Linked DNA regions of Drosophila melanogaster. The protein of the gene in region 1 interacts with the protein of each later gene in a pairwise test. Each region holds a gene or a part of one and is shown on either strand. Other genes may lie near its edges.

Evidence for each region.
Region 2: the proteins of Mp20 (region 1) and Tep4 interact in a two-hybrid assay, tested with the Drosophila melanogaster proteins (one large-scale study listed by BioGRID).
Region 3: the proteins of Mp20 (region 1) and CG11756 interact in a two-hybrid assay, tested with the Drosophila melanogaster proteins (one large-scale study listed by BioGRID).

Annotation. Positions count from the first base shown.
Region 1 is NT_033778.4:13,243,962-13,250,247, reverse strand, and holds Mp20 (muscle protein 20), read right to left. Parts: upstream 3,579-6,286; 5' UTR 3,506-3,578; coding exon 3,476-3,505; intron 3,332-3,475; coding exon 2,999-3,331; intron 2,932-2,998; coding exon 2,744-2,931; coding exon of another isoform or gene 2,740-2,743; exon of another isoform or gene 2,489-2,739; intron 1,437-2,488; coding exon 1,418-1,436; 3' UTR 1,368-1,417; downstream 1-1,367. Other genes in the region: CG4712 (uncharacterized protein), read left to right, coding at 1-239, 751-847, 917-1,305.
Region 2 is NT_033779.5:19,547,299-19,556,915, reverse strand, and holds Tep4 (Thioester-containing protein 4), read right to left. Parts: upstream 7,224-9,617; 5' UTR 7,071-7,223; coding exon 6,988-7,070; intron 5,235-6,987; coding exon 4,503-5,234; intron 4,444-4,502; coding exon 4,017-4,443; intron 3,961-4,016; coding exon 3,623-3,960; intron 3,555-3,622; coding exon 3,001-3,554; intron 2,947-3,000; coding exon 824-2,946; intron 755-823; coding exon 515-754; 3' UTR 465-514; downstream 1-464.
Region 3 is NC_004354.4:11,345,014-11,350,240, reverse strand, and holds CG11756 (uncharacterized protein), read right to left. Parts: upstream 2,122-5,227; 5' UTR 2,037-2,121; coding exon 1,425-2,036; 3' UTR 1,376-1,424; downstream 1-1,375. Other genes in the region: NdufV3 (NADH:ubiquinone oxidoreductase subunit V3), read right to left, coding at 1-145; CG1738 (uncharacterized protein), read right to left, coding at 521-1,069; GCS1 (glucosidase 1), read left to right, coding at 2,359-4,012, 4,079-4,974.

The DNA.
Region 1 (6,286 bases):
GCATTCTAATGACCACTGCGTTTTTGGACCTCGCCAACGCCATGAACATCGTTCTCAGCACGGAGCATCATCTCGAGCAGACGTTAAAACGCATCCTGGTTCGTCCGGACGCCGAGACCGATTTCCTCAAGCGCCTGGTTGCCCGCGAACTCCGACTTATGGCCGACCATCGGAATCAAATTAGCGATGCCCGGCTGTTGCTCATGTCGCAGAAACACACCTTGGCCCGCATCTTAGAAGTAGGTATCCAGGATGTTGTCCAAAAAGTTGTCCACGATGTTGAACGCGTTGTTGAGAGATTTTCCGCCATGTTGTCCGCCATGTTATCCTCCGTATTTTTTGTAATGTCATTCGCCATTTTATATGCTATGTTACATGCTATATTATCCGCCATGTTGTCCGCCATTTTATCAGCCGTGTTGTCCTTCATGTTATTCGCCATGTTATCCGTCATATTACATTATATGTTAATCGCCGTGTTGTCTGCCAACTCATGTTACATGCTATGTTATCCGACATGTTATATGCTATGTTAGCAACCATGTTATCCGCCGGTTATGCTCATTCAAATTGTCACATAATGCTATTAAGTTATTCACAATATTTTACAACACATTGCTTCCCACTATCCAGCCATGTAGTTTTTCATTATATTTACTATCACCAATATTGTTTTCCAATTTTTCATATGTTTTCTAATTTGATTGTTTTACTTGTATCAACATACTTTTCTGAAACATCTCCATTTAGAAAATAAGAGATGTAGAAACGGTTTGCGACGGTGTGAGCTTGAATGACTTTATTTCCGTGCAAAACAAAACGATCGGCCTAGAAAAGAAGATTGAAGGTATAGTCCTATGAACATCTCTGCTTAAAATTTGTTCATTATTATATGCATAATAATCATCTCCATCAGAGCGAAATATTGAATTAAAAAGACAGCGCAGGCTCTACCACACCGAACTGCATATGACTAAGCACAATCGAGAGAAGTCCCACGAGCTTAAGAACAAAATTCACGTTCTTAAAGATAACCTGCTGGAAAAGCACAAGTTGAAAAATAAACTAAAATCCGAGCTGTGTCGCCGAAAACTGGAGCACAAGGCTATTAGGCGCCGGATGAGAGATTTGACATGCCAGGGTGGTATCCTGGCTATGCCCGCATTGATGTATGACTACGATCGAACTGTCGCCTATGTTCGTGAAAAGGAGAAAATGGTCTCGAGTCTCCGGGAAACCCTAAAATCACTTACCAATCAGCTGCAAAGTTTGATGTCACCTCGAAAAAAGAGCTCGATTATTTAATAGGGCTATTACCACTTTTCAACCAAATACATTTTTCCACAAAAATAATATAATATTTGTCGTTTATTAATGCTATAAACAATGGAAAATTCAAGACTTCCTAGTCGTAAGCTTATGCATCAATAATAACCCTGAAACGGTAGAGAAAATCTCTTAATGAACCATTATTAATATATATGTATATATATATATATATCCCCCACATTTTCAGTGTCAAGTTTGTTATTTATTTGCCTGCTTTTATTTATTCCATCCATATATATATGTTGAAGAAAACAACAAAACCAAGGGGAAATACCGTTTGGTTGTTCTCATTAATATTTCTAGCAACCAATTGTTGGAAATTTTCAAAATTCTAAATATACCGATTCGGAAATTGGCACGCTTTATTCTTAATCATCCTTTCTGAGCACTATTTGAGTCTAAAATATTGTACACACGACCTGAGTACACTTCAATTAGCCAAAACGAATGAGGAAAATATTTCATTTGCAGACTGCGTCATTTAAAACTAATAACAAATCCATGCTGAATATATTCTGCGTTCTAAGACATATTTTTTCAATAGATCTAACATACAATTAATACAAAATATTTCCAGATTCTTCCATTCCTGCTCTTTGCTTTCAGCATAATAAGCCAACAGAGATCAATTCCACCCACTGACAAACTATAATAAATCGAGAAATTAGAAAAGTGCCAGCTGAAGGCGTGAAATATTCGCGAGAGATGTCTGGTTTTTTTCATTTTTGGCACCAGCATAGTTGCACCTGCAATACATAATGTTGTGTGTGTTCTTTCGTGGGAACAATTTCACGCCTCGGACAGGTGAGTTTGGGGGAAATTCCTTTCGCTACATATAAAATATATGTAAAAGTCAGTGTCGAGATGCCCATCTTGATAATAACTCTGCCCAACGCTGATGTTCTGACCTCGACACGCTTCGATGGAATGTTTCACACATCGCACACACTCAACAGAGTGTGTTTATGTTTGCTTTATAACGTTGATACGATGATGCATATATAGTATATATATATATTCAGCTATATGGCTATAGGTATGAAATTCATTTTTAGAACGCACCATAGGCAGATAAATAAAGTCTGTACACCCACACAAACAACAGCAGCAAGAACGTAGAGAGCTCAAGGTTATAGAGGTGATCGGAAAGTGGAAAACTGGGTTCTTTGAATTACTTTATTGTACTCATAAATAGATTAACTTAGGCGTATACTTAATATAAGGCGACAAGCCTTTGCGTTGCTTTTATGTGTTGTTTTGTGTGAGTGTGTGTTCATTGGTGTTGAGTTTTGCTTTGGTGAGGAATATCATTGTGTTCTTCATGTTTTTCATCATACAAAATATATATGGGTGTGTTCACTTAGCATAAGTGTAGAAAAGGGTGTGGACATCCTGGCCATCCTTTGGCGCTTACTTGCCGAGCAGGATCTTGCGGCCAGCGCCGAGGTTCTGGCCAGCCTGGGTGGCTCCCTTGTTGGAACCGGCCTGCAGACCCACAATGGTCTGGCCAGCCTTCAGCTGCTCTTCGGTGAAATCGCGCTTGCACTCATCGGCGGGCTTGGGGCCCAGGAAGGGACCCTTGAAGTCGGCATGCTTGTAGGTCTGCAATGAGCCGCAATTCAAGGATTAGCCTGGCTGACAATGGGATAGAAGGCGATTTGAAACTTACGGCACGGCCCAAAGCGAAGATGGTGTTGGTAACGTTGGCAATATCCTTCTTCTCGTACAGATCGACGGTCTGGAAGACATCGATGTCGGGCACACCGTACTCCTTCAGGGCCTTCTGGAAGTTGTTGATGTTCTCCATGAACTTGAACTGGCCGCCCGAGGAGTTGACCTTGGGCACGGCATTGGGCGACAGCACGTTGATCAGTTTGCACAGCACCTGACCGTCCTTGAGCACATCCTCGTAGGACTGGCCGGCGGGGAACTTCTCGGCAATGATGGCCTCGATCCACTCCTGGGCCTCCTTGTCCATCTCGGGATTGCGCTTGCTGGCAATCTAGGTGGATCGGATAAGAAAAAATTCATATTTTAGGCACAATATTTCACAAAACTGTTTGGTAATTTCACATTTCTTTCATCTATTTTCCTTTATATCTATGTTTTCTTAAGGATCTTTTTTCTTCACTGATTGAGTATTCACCTTGGCACGAACGGCACGCTCAAGAGACATGTTTGATTCTTGGTTTTTGGTTTCGGGTCCTGCGGGATCTTCACTAAAGCTCTGACAAGCTAACACTGATGCCAGCCAACGGGGCGTATGCGGCTTTTAAAGCGCGAGAGAGCGTTCTCCGACGAATTCGTTCAAGAATTTTCCAAAAATATATCCGAATTCGGAGTCGAGTGTGTGAAAATTTTGCAGCGTGGGCGTTCTATATATTCGAAACGCCGACTTTGCCCGTCTCCCGCGTATGAATCGTGCGTTATAATTTTAGATCATCATCGGTTGAGAAAAAGGAAAAATCCAAATGCTTCATTATTTTCACACATTTCCAATCGATGGTATGTGTGTGTGTGTGTGTGTGCGAGTGTGTGTAGATTGTGCTCTTCAAAGTACTGCTCATTTGCATGTTAGCCGCATTTTTTCGGACTTGCTGTCCTGCTGTCATTTTGAACTCATTTCGGGCGCGTGCATTCGTTGCCCGTAATTTCCATCGGCATGCATTGGGTCATAATTAAAAATGGCAGCAAATTGGTTCCCATCGAGCGACACATCCTCCAGAATTTACAGCGAAATTTATGATGACATGGACATCCTCACAATTATTCACAGTTATCAGATCAGATCAGCGACATGGCAATTTCTTGTTAAAAGGACTTTCTGCATAAAAAGTTTACAAAAATGACATGTACTTATTAATTTTTACTGAAAATGTTTTTCAAATTGGATTTAATTGGTATTTCAAATATATTTGATAATCAAATCTTCCAAAGACACGTCCTTCAGAATTTACAGAGATTTACAAAATGTGAGGAGCATCCTTTGCAATATTCACAATTTAGAACATGCCAATTAGTTTATTAAGAGAATATTCGAAATAATTTCATCATACTACTATCATACTAATGTTTTAAATTTTTATAAATATTATTGAAATATTCATACAATGTATTTATAATCTGATAATGGATATAAATAATGTCTCCAGGAAAAGACGGAGCAATTTGCAAGCTTTAAAAAGTAAAAAGGACAGCGATTACTTTATGAGCGGGAAATTAACTTGAATTATGTGCCTTGTGTTATTGAAAAGCACTTTGTTCGAGGACAGCCATCAGCAAAACATGCCTTCAAAATTAACGAGAGGGCAATAAAGTGAAGAGGCGACCAGTCAAGGCGACTGGGAACTGTCAAAGTTCGTGCCCCCCCACAAAAATTAATATTTTATTAGAGTATTTCGGGGGGGAAAGCCAAACAAACAAATCGCACAGCGACATCTATTTCGGGATGGGGGAAAATCTTTTGCTAGAGCAGATACAATTTCGATAACAGTCGGAAAATCTACGAGATACACGTAAAAGGCGCGACGAATTTGTGCTATGGGTAGCGCGACTATTTCTAAATTCTCGACGCCGAACAGGTGGAGCCGAGCCGAAATAGTTGAGATTTTCCAGGCTTTTCTTGTTTTTCCCACGGCGGAGAAAAACAGATGGCGTGTTCGTTTATTTTTACCGCCTCCTTGGCCCGCGGCACTTCGACGGAGCGTTTTCTTTCTTACATTTTTATTTTAATTAACAAATACGCGGCGAATTGAAGTAAACCGCATTGGTTGCCATTTAAGTGAATTAAATGCGCCGCAGGCTGGGTTTTGACTATTGTCTTCGCAAAAATTTAATTAATGCCCCGCAGCCGGGCGGCCATTTTTCACGGCAATTAAATTATTGTAATTGCATTTGCTGAGGGGTGTGGCTCGTCAAGTGAAAGAATCAAATTCAATTACGCGATGGCACACACCCGATGGTTTTGGAAAGTACTATTACTATCGTCTCCCTTGGATTGCAATTCAAACAAATGGCTGATTAAATGATTATCCGAACCCTGGGGGTCCCTCATGCATCCTCATCAGACGACATCCTCATCAACGTTTGTGCCAAAATTGCACAGAGCAGAGCATTGTGTATGTGTTTGGCCAGGAAAATTAGATTCGAGTGTGCAAACATCCTGGCGGAGGAGAACCATTTTGCAGGCGCTAAGTTAGCCGGGATTATTTTCCCATAAATCAGCATAAAAAAATCCACAACCAGGCCGACGGCCTATGCTCCGCAAAATGGCCAGCACACAATGGTCACAAAATGGCAACGCATATCCGAAATGAAGTCAAGCGAAAATTAGGTCGTTGGGGAGTAAAGGCACCAAAGGGATCCAATGGATCCAATGGCTCCAAAGGATCCGGCTAGCCCTTGGGCCATCCAGCAACCACTTGCTGGCATTTGTGCCGCTTCCGCTGGCTTACAGTGAAGCTGGGCGGAAACGGAAATTGAGTCAAGCGTTTCAGTTTGCAGACTGCAATTTCATTTATAAACAAACACAAAACGAAGAACATTGATTCGAATACAGATACTGGCAACTCGTGCCCCATTGCCAGTGAGTTGGCCGTCTATAAATAGACGCATTATTTATTTAAGCTCAGCATTTAATTGGAAAATCATGCCCAATGTCGTCATTTTGTTAACGAAAATAAACACTCGATTCGCCGCGGTCATGGCATCCACTAGTTATTTATAAGTTTCTCATAATTTCTGTAGACATTTTTCGGCTCCTTGCGACAAAAGCAATTAAATAAATCTCAACATTTTCACTTTGTCGCTCAAAGAACATTCGTAGCACAATGTTGGAGGAATTATTTGTTTTGTATTTAAAATTTTTCCCCTTTTGCCAATTATCGGCTTCTCTAAATCTAAATCTTATAATATAAGCCAAACAATAACTGACACCTTTTCACAAATTTATTTATTG
Region 2 (9,617 bases), on another chromosome or scaffold:
CCCAGTGTCCCATTTAACAATGAAGATCTCCTCCATCTAAGTTTTAGTAAGATTTAACCAAGCTGAATAATAAGTGAATAAGCGCTTAACAATCATTTTTAATTTAGGGGTTCTCTTAATCAATGTTTGATCACCTAATGGCTTTTTATTCGTCAACTAGCTTGATGCTCAGAAGCATTCCCATTTTCTCGAGCTCCATAAATAAGTGCAATCCAAATTGATTCTTTGTATCCCAGAACTCAGAATCTGAAAGTCCCTTCCTTTACTTGTTAGTTGAAGAACTCCCTAACTGAAAACTAATTACGATAAAACAATCAATTGGTTTATGGTCCTTATAAACTGTTTCTACATTAAGATTTGGACATTAGCACACTGACTGATGCGTTTCGTCACTACGCTATAACTCTTATGTAACCCAAAGCAGTAAAAGAGACATTTTGTATATACATTATAATCACAATTTTATTTTAAGTAAGGATAGAAAGTATTAATGATTCCTTTTGGTTTGGATACTCTAGCACTTGCTCTTGCAGTCGTCACCCTCGCAAATGTCGCAGAGCTTCGACTTGATGGAGTAGTATTCGGTGGCCTTCTTGTTCGTGTCATAGTAATCGTAGAGGACCACCGATGATGGCTTCTGGTTGGCCACCGCATGTGTTCTGTACGCCTCTATGCGAATGCATTTTTCTTCGTTCTTGGCCAGATTCTCGAAGTATATGACCACCACGGAGTCACCGTTCTTGGTTTCCACCAACTGCAAAGCGAATAATTTATAGGTAATTGAAGAGAAAAGTGTACAGGTATTAAGGATTCTGAAACTTACCCGCACACGTTCGATGTTCCGGATGTCGGCGAAGCTATCCTCATCAGCAGTATAACCAGACGGCAGGGATACCTCCAGAATGGCCATGTTGGATTCCTTGGACTCGCCCTCCTCCACGTAGTCCACGCAGACGCTTAGTTCCAAATTGGCTGGCGACGATTCCGGCAAAACGGTGGTCTGAATCTTAAAGCTCGGCTTCGGCTCCTTCTCCACCAAGTTGTATTGGTAGCTTATCTGGACCATAGCAGCTCCAGTTCCCTTGGCTTCAAACTCCAGCGACTTGGTGCCCTGTGGGAACTCGACTGTCTGGAGGAGCAGGTCATTTTCCTCCGATGTGTTGAGCTTCTCGGTCTTTTCACGCTTTCCCTTGTTGGAAACGGTCACCTCCCACTTGGCCGCCTCGTAGCCCGACTTCTCAGCGAACTTAATGAGGGCGGTGAGGCCGACAACCGTGTCCTGGCTGGAGGCAAATCCTCCGAAGCCATTACGCTGGGCGATCAACCAGCGAACGGTGTTCAGAACAGAGTCGGCTGTCTCCTGGTCTGAATCCAGAAGGGAAAGCAGCGCATATGATGTGATCTCCACATCCTGACTCCAGATCCAACACCACCAGCGTCCGCAGTTCTTGGAGGCACGCAGCTTATCCAGATCCTCGGTCCACCAGGTGCGATCGTCCTCGTGTTTGGCCAGGGACTTAAGACTGGCCACCTGCTTGGCAGCTTCCGGCGCCTTGGCCTTTTGCAGGGCATAAATGGCAATGGATTTGGGCAGGAGCTCAATGGACTCGGCAGTATTGGCGCTCAGATAGGCAACCGCCTTGTCAATGGCAGCCTGGTTCGGTTTCTCCTCCTCCAGCAGGGCGAGCAAGGAATTTGCGGTCAATGTCAATAGAGATCGCTGGGAGCTATAGAAATACTCTCCGTGTTCCGTGAAGCTACCATTTTCTGCCTGTCGAGTTAACAGGAATTCGTAGCCCTTGGCCAGGATCTGCTCATCCAAGTCAATTATATCCTTGATCTTGCTAAACGAGCGCAGCACATAGGCCGTCAGCCAGGTGGAACCATTGCGCACTGGATCCTCCTGCCTCCATTTGGTGGGCCCAAAGGAACTGAAGCTGCCGTCGTCGTGGCGATAGTGCAACATATGTTGGTATCCGTCCTGCAGATTCCTCTTGATGCGAGTGTCCAATGCAGGTGTGAGTTTCTTGATGCTCTTCAGATAATCCCTCACCAGATAGTTGGGCACCAATTTGGACATGGTCTGCTCACCGCAACCGCTGGGCAATCGCAACAGGTTCTCAAGGTTCTTGACCACTGGTCCCAAGAGATCACCCACCAATCCGAATTCCACACGCTCGGAGTCGGGGACCACATCCTCCGGCACTTCCAGCTCGAAGGTGTTCTTAAACTCACCCGTATCCTTAAGATTGATAAAGAATGCCCTGTTCTGGTACTGGGTAATTCCTTCGGGCACTACCTTTAGCGGCTTGTGTATAGCATCTCCGGCCAGCGGTGAGATGGCCTTGAATTTCAGCAAAATATTTCCAATGACCTTGGGTCGGATCAAAAATGAGGCTCCTGCCGCTTCGTTGGCGCCCACTCTGATGTTCTGCGTACGCTTCTGGTCACCAATAACCTCATTCGAGGCATCCACGAAGTCATACTCTTGATCCTCGTTGTCCAGGGTCAGTTCCACGTCCAGTGTCTTGGGCAGGTAGTTAAAGACCAGTGCCGGTACATTGATCACCTCACCTCGCTTCACGGAGTATGGCAATCGAACGGAGACAAAGAACGGCTGGAATGTCTTGATATTTGTCTGATCATTGGTGACACCTAATCCCTTCTGGGGATGCAGTGAAAAGCCGGTGACCACCCAGTTGGTGATCGTATCGGGTATGGTCTTTACCCACTTGAACACCTCCTCCTCGGTGCTCTCGATATCGGCAAAGATCCAGGTCTCTGCGAAATTCTTTCGCACTACTGGTGCTGCAGATGCAGACGCACTTTCGGCGGAGAATCCCACGGCCTGAGTTGGTCCGCCAGCACCGGAATGGAATACATGACTATCATGTGCCACTGTAGTCTTTCTCATGGCGAAAGAGCTTCCACCAAATCCTTCTGTAACTTCCAATAATTGCAAATTAATGTGGTTTATTATTATGACAAATTTATACGTACGAATATTGTAGTCTGGGGCGGTGCGATTATAGAAGAAATAGGCATTGGTCATAGTCACGACTCCAGTTCGCTCTCCGGGGTAGTAGGAGTATCCACCCTGCCAGGGAGTTGAGGTGTCATAGCCATTTAGGCGCCAGTTGAAGGATTCCTTGTTCAAATCGTTGTTGCTGCCCAGCAGAAGGACACTCTGATCGACGGCCAACAATCCAACGAATGACTTTGGCGACGTCTTGATCTCCAGTGCAACGTCGGCACCCGGTTTAACTTCCGCGGGAGCCTTGATTTCGATCTGGTTCTGCAGCTCGACCTCCACACTGAATGTTTCCTCGGTATATCGGAACTCTCCTGTCTCATCCACGTAGTAGAAGTACACCCGACCATAGGGAGTAGTGAGGAAAGTGGGCTTAATGGTTACGTTGACGGTCGTTTGGGGTTCCGCGAGGTCCACACGTTTCGTTTCCAATATGTTTCCACGTCCCACAATGTTGTACACAAAGTATTTGAGCGGACGACTGGAGTTGAGGATTACTTGATACTCCTGCCCGATCTTGAGGCTGCAATAGAAGTATTGTATATGGTTATTTAAAATCGTGGAACCCTTGCTCAACTCAACTGTACTCACTTCCAGACGTCCTTGGGCCTCTGAACTTCTGCCCTGAACCACTCCTTTTCCTCTTCAGAGCTAGGATTTTCAATCTGTTTTGGTTCCCTGTAGGGATAAGTGGTGTACAGATCTCGTTTTTCATCGACGAACTCCAGCTCAATGCTATAGTAACGAGTAAAGTTGGCGATATCCGGCAAATCGGGAAGAACCACCTTGAAAGGCGCCACACCAGACGCATTCAAATGGCTTTCAAACACAAACGTTTTCTTCTCAATCGTTGGCAATTCCGGTTCTTGATGATCTGTTCCAAAGGCATAGAAAGCATAATTGCGTCGAATTCCTTCAGTGAACTTGGCCTAGAGTTAAAACGAATTTATAAGTAGTGACAGATCTCTTAAGATTTCTAACCCACCTTCACAACAGACTTGGTGTCTGTAATTAGTGAGCCGTCGACATATGTAATCTTGAAGTTAAGTTCATGTTCCTTGTCGGGCTTGAAGGAGAAGCAACTGGAGTAGTCAGTGCAGGACATCTCATACCGATAGGGGTACAGCTGCACACCGCCTGTTTCATTGAGCTTCACGCCGGTGAAGTCTTCCTCCACGGTAGCCGTAATCTGGGCATATGAAGAAGAGGTCTTGTGCGGCAGATAACTGGCGAAGTCCTTGAGATCCATGGTCAACTTGGCCTTGCCTCCGACCATGTCGGCGGTGCCAACAACAGAATGTCCGGGGTAGTCCGTTTGCACTGTCTTGCCGTCCACATTCTCCCAACTGCTCGTCGAGTCCAGATGGACATTGACAAGAACTTTACCATTCACGGGCTTACCATAGGTGTAGCTGGGGGATAATGCTGATATAAGAATGTCCTAAAGCATAAAACTTCCGGTAATACTTACTTGGCCTTCAGGACGACATTGAACTCGCCATCTCGCACTGAAACCTGCTGCGTGGCATCCATTTTGACGGAGTACTTGGGCAGCACGTACTTCTCCACCTCAAAGTTGACGAGCTCATCCGAGCGATGCCAGCGATGACCAAATCCTCCAAATTGTTTACGACCCCCAAAGTAAATACCTCCGTCGTGGTGCTGATCTCCATTCTGAACATGAAGGGACCAGGAGCCCAATGTGGCGAACTCGGAGAGCTCGAATTTGCCAGTGTAGACGCCACCGGTGGTCTTTATGTGTTTCTCCTGCTTGATGCGGTTCCTTTTGGAGTCCTCAAACCAAACCACCACTTCATCCTTAGCGGTATCCGGCCGCAGGTTCTCGTCCAGGAAGATCACACGATAGTTGATAGTATCACCGGGCTTGTACTTTCCCTTATCGGTCTGGATTTTAATGTATGGCTTGAAATTCTCCCAGTTCAGCTTGGTGGAGTTCTTGAACTCCAGTCCCTTGACGCCCTCCGCCGTCAGATTATATTCACCCGCCTCCAATGGGGGCAGTTTGAAGGTGATCTGCTTGAACTCACCGGCAGTGGCTAGTTCCACGGTCTCAGTTTTGTTGTAGGAGGGTCCAGTGATGCCCACTTTCAGGGTGACTGGCTCCTTGGTCTGATGGACAGCCACGGCCACATTGTAGTCACGGTGGGAGTGGATGGTTCCGGGACCCACAATGGTGTACTTGCTGGAAGCAAAGAAAACATCAACATTATTGTCATGAAAAACAAAATAAAATCAAATAACAATTCGGCCATAAAAAATTCCAAGAAGAGAAAAAAACATACACATATCCACTTGGAAATATTTGTAGTATTGTATTTGTATAATATATAGTATTGTATTTCTTGATAGTAACTATAGCTATCAATATTCAAATTATCAATATCAAATTCTTGACCATGCTCTAAGAATTCAAAAATAAATGTATATTGTCTAATCTCTAGGGAAACACAGAAATGAAACTTAAAACCATTAACCTCGACTTGATAATGTTCCCAATCTTTAAAAGGCAGTCTAAGATTCGGTTTAGGTTTTTGAGTTATGGTTTTTTTGATCTGTGACAGCAAATGATGAAATATATATGTATATATATATATAACGGATAATATTCCCAGAACCTGATCTTCTACTGAAAAGTATGAAACCGGCTTAGAGATTACATAATTCCAGCTTTTGCGATTAGCAATCTTTCTCGCACTTACAGTCCCCGATCACGTACACCAATATTGTTAGCCTGAACATCATTAACTTTTTTGGATTAGATTTGTTCCAGCCTTTTATGTTAGACTTCAAGTTTATGACATTTTTAAGTGTGTTCCATAACCCACCTTCATATTCGTTTCTAATTACTAATAATTGGCGGGACAGGAAAAAGTACAGATTTAAGATCGTGTGAAAGATTGATCAGCGAAACCATTGAGGCAAACAAAGTATGTGACGTGATCCTCTTGTTTGAGTAAAAAATATAAAAATCCATATTCAAAATGGCTTACAGTGAAACTCAATTAGCATCATAAGTTGAGCTCAACAAAAATGAAGAAAATAAAACACCCCTCAACAAGGTGAGATTAAAGTGGCGATGGCACCTTCAACTCAAAAATTAAATACCAGATATTAGTTCGGAGTAACTAAACCTCTTTAAAAAAGAAATTCTGAATATTTTTGAAGTGAGTGAATAGTTGTGATCGGACTATCGTACCAGATTTTCAATTTTATTGAATTTCCCCAAATTCACCCTTTTAGGTGCTCATCGTCACTACGTGGACAGAAGTCTAGTGTTTAATCTTATAGGTGTGATAAGGAACGATGTTTAACATTTGCTATATACATAATTATATATCTAAAAGTTAAATTACTATTTGAAAAATGTAGAGCAAAATGTTATTAGGTTAGTGATTTGTAAAAACCGTAAAAAAACTCTCCTATAAATCCAAGGACAAACCAGATGGTATAAACAATTAAGCTAATAGGTGATTTTGCGTATAAATAACAGCTTAATTACCTTGATGTTCATTAAAAACGGCCCTATCTGTATACATATATGCATACCTAATTAATTGAAATATTCGACGACAGCCATACAGTGACTGTGAATATAATAGTGGTAATAAGTAATAAACATAGATAATATAGTTTGGATTGCAGTAATCTGTGTTTAAGTGTTCGAGTGAGACGGGAATCCAACCACTAGCGTATTAGGGAAATGGTTAAAATTTTTAGCCATCAGTTTTTATTCAAATTATCAACCGAATAACCGAAGTAAGAACAATACGTTTTATAGGCCAGCTTTGTAAAGAACTATAGTTTTAGATATCTGGCTTTGATTATCGCCTATATTTTTGCGAATTCCTAACCCGACTCTACTAATACTCTAACCGTAGATGTGTTTTAAAATCGATCCGATCATATAGTATAGTATTTGTGGTATATGGACTTACCCCTCGGCTTTTACCGGTTCCATCGTCTGCAGCAAGGCCAAAATCACACAAAGCGAGACAGCAAAAGCGTCTGCGCGACGCATTTTGATTGGATTGGTGGTCAAATGAGGGCAAAAAGGATGGGAAATAAGAGCACAGATATTATAAGGCTATAATGCGCGGGATCGATGCTGGCGGAAGTTTGGTTAGCGACTGAGCGACTGCGACCGACTGGGATCAGAGCCGAGCTGGGACTGGTTCGGTTCGATGGCCCACGGATTTGTTATAATACCGAGCGACTCTAAAACCCCAGGCCCGGCAGACGAAGCCGAGCTCCAGTGGGGCGAGCAAGTCGTAAAAAAAAAAACTGATAAAAATTATAAGTAAATAAAACTGGCAGAGTGTGTGTTGTTGTGGTGTGTGTGTGTGTGTGTGTGTGTGTGGCGGTGTATGTGGTGCGCCCACTGAAATCGATGACGCGAGTTGGGCAAACAAAACCTTAACAATAATAACATGGCCACAAAAAACGCCGGCACTCCAATATCAATATTCATTCGTGAGTATTCACTTGGGCTAGTTGCCGCTGAAATATCATTCGTAATTTGATTTAAGAAGGAATTTATGGGAATTTACTGGTCAAAGGGATCAAAGATGATTATTTCTAATTATCATATTTACAAATATTACATTTGTGAGTATTCACTTGGACCAATTTCAGCTTAAAAATCATTCGTAATTTGATTTTAGAAGGAAGTTAGGGGAACATACTGTTCAAAAGAATACAATACAGGATGGATTTATGGGAATTTACTGTTCAAAAACACCAAAGATGAATGTTTCTATTTTCATCATATTTTCAAATATTGATTCGAGTATTCACTCGGGCCAGTTTCAATCATAATTGGACTAATAAATGGGAAATAGGGATTTACTGCTAAAAAATTGCAAAAAATTAATGTTTCGAATTTCACCATTTTTAGAAATGAATATATTATATGAATATTACGAATAAAGGGCGAACAAATAGGCGTGACTGTATAGAAGAACAGAAAGTTGGTATTACTGATTGCCCATGAGTGATATTTCAGTTATTTGTCACAGAACTATCGTCATGCAATAGTCAAATTATAACAACTTATTCATATTTCGTGTGGGGTTTTTCGATAATTAACACTTTAATTGTCACCAATAACTGTCGCTTCGTGTTTCGCAATGATTTGAAATATAGATTTTCCTTTTAAATAATTTACGTACATTATCTGGTTTTTGGAAAAGCCCAAATGATTTTTTGCGAAGATCTCGCGTAAAATCCCAATATATGAATTGAATACAAATATTTATGTTTTTGTCGTGTGGCAAATGACGTGCGTGCAATATTATTTGGACTTGTTGATTTGCAGTGTTAACGGAACTGCCTCCTAAATCGAAATACGGAGACCAACTGACTAGGCGTTGTGTACATATATATCGAAAACTCTTTCCTGCTCTCTCTGAGTCAGCTGTTGTTGTTTTGTTAGATGTCGCTCTCTTGATTTGCCGAATGATGACGTCACTTGGCTGTATTTCACACTGCCTTGCAAATGAAACGGGTATATAATGTAGCGATGAGTAATGCCAATATATAAGAGATATTCGCTCAACTGCGTTTCTCTTGGTGATTCCCCGTTTGTTCTTTCTCTCGTGCGGTTCGGTTCCGTGTAATCTATAAGTAGTGATATTGGGTGATATGAATACGCTGCAATCTAGGAAAGGAATTAGCTTTAAAACGCTGTAATTTCATGATTAATTAAATTGTGGTGATGTATGGTGAATTAATTTGCTTGTAACAAGTAATCTTCCTTGGCTTTCACCCAGAAAGTATACTGCCTGCAAAATACGCTCATAATAACTAACTGAATATACAAATATTTTTATGAAAAAACTATTTTTTAAAGCTATTGTAAAGCTAATACATCATATGTATATGCAGGCAGGAATAATTGAATCTTGAACCTTTTTTTGTGAACTGTATACGTAATAATATTGAAAGTTCGCAAAGCTGAACAAAATGTTTTATTATTCCAAATTCCTAGTCGGTATATTTTAAGTTTGGAGAGCCGAAAAACTGGCATCTACATACATAAATATGAGATAGTAAGGCATACATGGACATGTGTCGCGATTATGTCTATCTCTTCGGTTAATCACTAAAGTAAATGAAAATAGAAATGAATCCACAGAACTATCTATGGTACATATGTAGAGCTACTCAAACTCTGCTAATCCTCTCCTTCAAATCTCATAACGCTACCTCAAAAAAATGACCAATTTAATAGATATTATTTTTGTAGTCGGATAAGTATGAAAATTTATTTAACCGTATATTTTGTATTAGTACAAATGCGCTGTAGGAAAGTGTTATTGTGGGATATTCCCAATCATATTGTTCGCTTCTTATCTTTCTATTTGTTTCTCCTTTTGCTGTTTATTCGTCTCGCATTTGCTTTTGCTAGCAATTTCACAACATCGATCATCGAAATCAACTATTTAGGGTGGACCTAAAAAGCACAATTTAACGTAGTTCAGTCTACGTAAATATATATTCTAAACGCAGAACTTGAAATAGAGAGATTATTCAACATTCGGTTAGATTTGTTATTACTTAATTTGAT
Region 3 (5,227 bases), on another chromosome or scaffold:
AGGATGCGCCGCCCGATGGCGAGGATCCGGCTCCAGCTGGAGATCCTGAGGCGCTGGGTCTACCGCCGCCGGAAACGGGTCCGCCCTTGATCTGGCTGTAGCAGCGGCTGAGGGCTGGGCGCAGGGCACGTGAGGGCGAGAACATGTTGGACTTAATGGCTGGCTAGCTTGCAGCGTTTAATTCGCAAAAATAATTCACGTAATCACGTATCAACAAAGTGGACGTGTTGGGTAACGCGGAAAGTGCGCTTATTGGCGAGGAATATGGCAAGGCAACGTACGAGCGCGAAGCTGCCACCTGGCCGCAAAAATATGCATAAAATAAAAGTGGTCATATTTTAAATTGGTTTAAATGTTTAAATTATTATTTACACAGTTAAAGATGCTGGCAGTGCTGGTATAGTTATATATTATATAATTTAAGCCTGACGTTAGGGCTAGAATAGATAAATTGATTTTTAAACAGTGCCATCCTTTGACTAAGCTAGTTTTAGTATTTAACTAAGAGCTATATAAACAACTATTTTCTCGTCTTAAACTTGGGCTGCGCCTTGCCGTAGTGCTGATCGATGTGTGAAACGGGCGCGCGCCTCTTGTCGTTGCGCTCCTTTTGCGATTTTGTTCGGCATTTGACGCTGGCGGCGCCCGTTTGATTTTTGCCCAACTGATGGAACTTCTTGCGCTCCTCGCGAATATTCTTCAGCCGCTGGCGTTCGTCCTTCAGCTCCTTGTAGTTTTTGGAGGCCTTCTTCAGCGGCTTGGCGCCCAGCTTGATCAGCTGAAACATTTCCATTTTGCTCTTGTTTTTGATCACACGCTGGTTTTTGATCGCAAAATTGAGCACCTCGTGGCGCGCCTTCTTGATATCGAATTCGGGATTCAGTTCCATGCCGCCCTCCTTGGTTTTGTGCGATTTTTGGACGCCGTCGTCCTGCTTTTTTGTTCCACTTTTCGATTGGAAGTGCGATTCGTGGAAGACGTGTGCCTGAAATTCGGTGTTCTCCTGCTTCTTTTGCAGCGCCAACGCTGCACGCGTGGGCACCGGCTTAAAATCGGCGCTGACGTTCATTATGCTTTCAGTTTTCTGTGTTTATTTGCAGCAATAATAGTGAAATCAAAATATTGAATGCACATGTACAGTGCCAAAATGTACTAATTCCCACGTAACGCCTCGGTCCATCTGGCAGCGCCGTTTTTCATGAATGTTGCTTGTAAGGTGGCGCTTTTTAATGTCCTTATTACGTCACAAAATCTTTTTATTTCAAAATATGTTTCAGAAAAACTGCTCAGCTTGCAGTCTATTGCTATTTATTAAGTATACAATTTCTTTACATTAATTTGTAAAATTTCGTACTTATTAAAAGCATAATAAGATCTTATTGAATGGTCAACTATTATAATATTTAAAATAAATTTTTTGTATATTAAAAGACATTGATTTTACTCATTTTGCTTTTGCTTTCCGAGTCCGAATCCTCCGACCAAAAATCATCTGGCAAACAAATCGCTTTCCAGCCCATTGCGTCCGCATCGTCAGAGATGGAATTCTGCTCATCCAGCTGGTTGAAGGGACTGGCATTCAAAGGACCCGACCAACTCGCGACGCGACTAACTGGCGGTGGAATAAGGCAATCGGAATTCTCCTTCCGATACGTTCGAGCCTTCAGTTTGTTTACTGCGTTGGGCAATTGCGGTACAGGCACCTCCTCCTCGTCGTCGTCGGGCGATGAAGTGGAATTGGGCACATTTACGATGTAGCTAATGGGATCCAGGCGGATCCCTATGGTTTTCTGGGAGGATCGGCTGTGTGGTCGCGTCAGATGTGGATTGCCCTCTCGACGTCGCCGTGCGTTTCTATTTTCCGTCTTGAGCCTCCCGTTTGCCGACCTGCCGCCATTGATGACGCTCCTCGTGGATATATTCACCGGGGGCGACTTTCGCCTGGCGGCCAGCTTCTTCGGATGCGGAATCCTGTAGCGACCATTCGCGTAGTCATTGCGCGGACTGACGAAAATTCCAGCCAAATATTTAAGCATTTTCCAAGAAAGTTTACTAAGAATTTAAAATAATTGCAAGCGACGCATAAGCTCCGATTTTATTTCTGACGATCGAGAAATGTGACGGAAAAATGATTTGTTACAAAATTTGGAGAAGAAATTTTGGAAATGATTAATTTTATGGTTTTCAAATATAGCATAGTATAGCTAGGACACAAACCCTTGTAATTCCGCATAGAAAATAGTTGGGATGATCCGGCAACGCAGTGCGGATCGAAATAAAAAAGAAAACAATGCGCTCGCAAGAAAATTGAAGCAACAACAAATAGCCGATAAATCAGAGCCAAGGGACAAGCGCAAAATGGCTAGGAACACGGGCAGCTCCTCGGGCTCCACGCCCGCTGCATCCTCATCCGGATCGAGCGCAGCAGCAGCAGCGGCGGCGGCAGCGGCAGCAGCAGCGGCATCCAATGCCAAACAGAAGCAGCGCAGCCCGCGTTTCAGTTTATCCTCGAATTTGATCCTGGACAAATGGAAAACGATGATTGGTTGCGTTTGCCTGGCGATAGCCTCGTACTTCGGCTATCTGGGCTACCTGGAGACGCGCGTTAACACGCCCTTCGATCACCAGAAGATGGTGGTGCATGCCGGCCTGGAGCAACCGGATCGCTACTGGGGCTCCTACCGTCCGTTGACGTACTTCGGCATGAAGACCAGGGATCCGCACTCGCTGGTCATGGGCCTGATGTGGTATACGCCCAGTAATCTGGGCCCCGGTGGCCAGGGCATTCGACACTGGTGCGAGCAGGGCGATAAACTGGACTCGTACGGCTGGACGCATCACGATGGCCGCAGTTTTGGCGTTCAAGAGATCCAGGATCTGCCCTTCGAGCTGAAGACCTCGTTCGTTAAGTATCCAGAGGGCAAGCAGTACGGCGGCGATTGGACTGCCAGGATATCGGTGAGGAATACGACAAGGGCGTGGGACAAGAGCATCTCGCTAATCTGGTATGTGGCATTGGATGAGCGCACCAATGGACACATTAAGTACGTGTCGGACGACAAGAGTCCGGAGCCGGGCGTCTATGGTGAGGCGCAGGGCCTGGGCGAGTTCCAAGTGCGTTTCCATGCCGTCAAGGGCAAGATACTGCATAAATCCTATCTCAGCACGGTGGCACCGTCGCTGGCCAAGCTCAAGGATACGCTCTTCTCGCACTTCCGCGCCTTCGCCGACAAGCGTGGCAATCGCTTCATCGGCCTGCCCGGCGAGATAGTCTCGCAGAATGGCCTGCCATCCTCCAATCCGGAGCCCAATTTCATAGCCATACAGATAACGGCGGAGGTGGACTTCACGCTGGACATTACGTACCAGTCGACGTCGGGCTTTTCGCTTGGCGAGTCGATACCCAAGCCGCCGACGGGACGAGCCTATCAGGATTCGCTTCAGGCGAAAATAGCACAATTTGAGCAGCGTTTCGAGGATCGTTTCCAGCTGAAGCAGAAGGGTCACTCGCCGGAGGAGGTGCGATTTGCGCGCAACGCATTGAGCAATCTGCTTGGCGGCATTGGTTACTTCTATGGCTCCAGTCGCGTGCAATCGGTGTACACAAAGAATCCGGTGCCCTACTGGAAGGCTCCACTGTACACGGCCGTGCCGTCGCGTAGCTTCTTTCCCAGGGGCTTCCTTTGGGACGAGGGCTTCCACGGCCTGTTGATCAGTGCGTGGGACATCGATATCGAGCTGGATATCATATGCCATTGGTTCGATTTGCTCAACGTGGAGGGCTGGATACCCAGGGAGCAAATCCTGGGCGTTGAGGCGCTGGCCAAGGTGCCCGAGGAGTTTGTCACGCAACGGAATAGCAACGCCAATCCGCCGACGTTCTTTCTTACGCTCAAGAAACTGCTGACCAGCCACCGGGCGGAGTTGTCGCAAAACGGCAGATTGGCCACGCTGGAGCGGCTCTATCCGCGTGTCCAGGCCTGGTTCAATTGGTTCAACACCACGCAGAGGGGTAAGTCACTTAGCCACCTGCCATCGCTTTCTATGTGGCGTCTACTAACTAACTGCTCCATTCTAGGTGAAGTGTTGGGCACATATTTGTGGCGCGGCAGGAACGCGACCACCACGCGCGAATTGAACCCCAAGAGTCTGTCCTCCGGCCTGGACGATTATCCGCGCGCCTCGCATCCCACGGACAAGGAGCGTCACCTGGACCTGCGCTGCTGGATTGCCCTGGCCGCCGGTGTGATGGCCGAACTGTCCACGCTGCTGGGCAAGGACGATGCCAAGTACTACGAGACGGCATCGTACTTAACGGACAATGTGCGTCTGAATCGCCTCCATTTGGCGCCGTACAGCGAACAGTACGCCGACTGGGGCCTGCACACGGACCAGGTGAAGCTGAAGCGTCCGCCGTCCATGGCGCCGCAGCAGCAGCAGCGGCATCATCACCAGCACTACCAGCTGCCCGAGATGCAACGTGTGACCGGCGAGTTGCCGACCTATCAGTTCGTGGACAGCGCCTTTGGCTATGTTAGCCTGTTTCCGTTGCTGCTCGAGCAACTGGATCACGATTCGCCGTATCTGACCAAGTTGCTAAACGATCTGCGTGATCCGGAACAGTTGTGGACCAACTACGGTCTGCGTTCGCTTTCGAAGAGATCGCCATTGTATATGCAACGCAATACGGAACACGATCCGCCGTATTGGCGTGGACCCATCTGGATTAATATCAACTATTTGGCGGCCAAGGCGCTGCATCACTATGGCAAGATCGATGGACCGAATGCGGCGTTGGCGCGACAAATTTACGCCGAACTGCGCGACAATCTGGTGGGCAACATCCTGCGGCAGTACAAGCGCAGCGGCTACTTGTGGGAGCAGTACGATGACACCAGCGGCGAGGGCAAGGGCTGCAATCCGTTCACCGGCTGGACGGCCACCGTTGTCCTCCTGATGGCCGAGCAATTCTAGATCTCGCCTACACGGTTTTCAGCCTGCCAAAACTGCTGTGAGTTCCTCAACGAACGACCCTGTCCCCGCATTCCTGGCGAAGATCAATGCGTTTTTGTGTGTGTTTGGAATAGCTGGGTGCTTCAATTGCAAACGTTTGGAGTACCAAATAAATTTTACTTAAATTGTAGCCAAAACTATCATCATCTATGGAGATTCGTTTGTTAGTTTTCGTGTGTGTGTCCGTGTTGTTTGTGACACACGATATACCAAA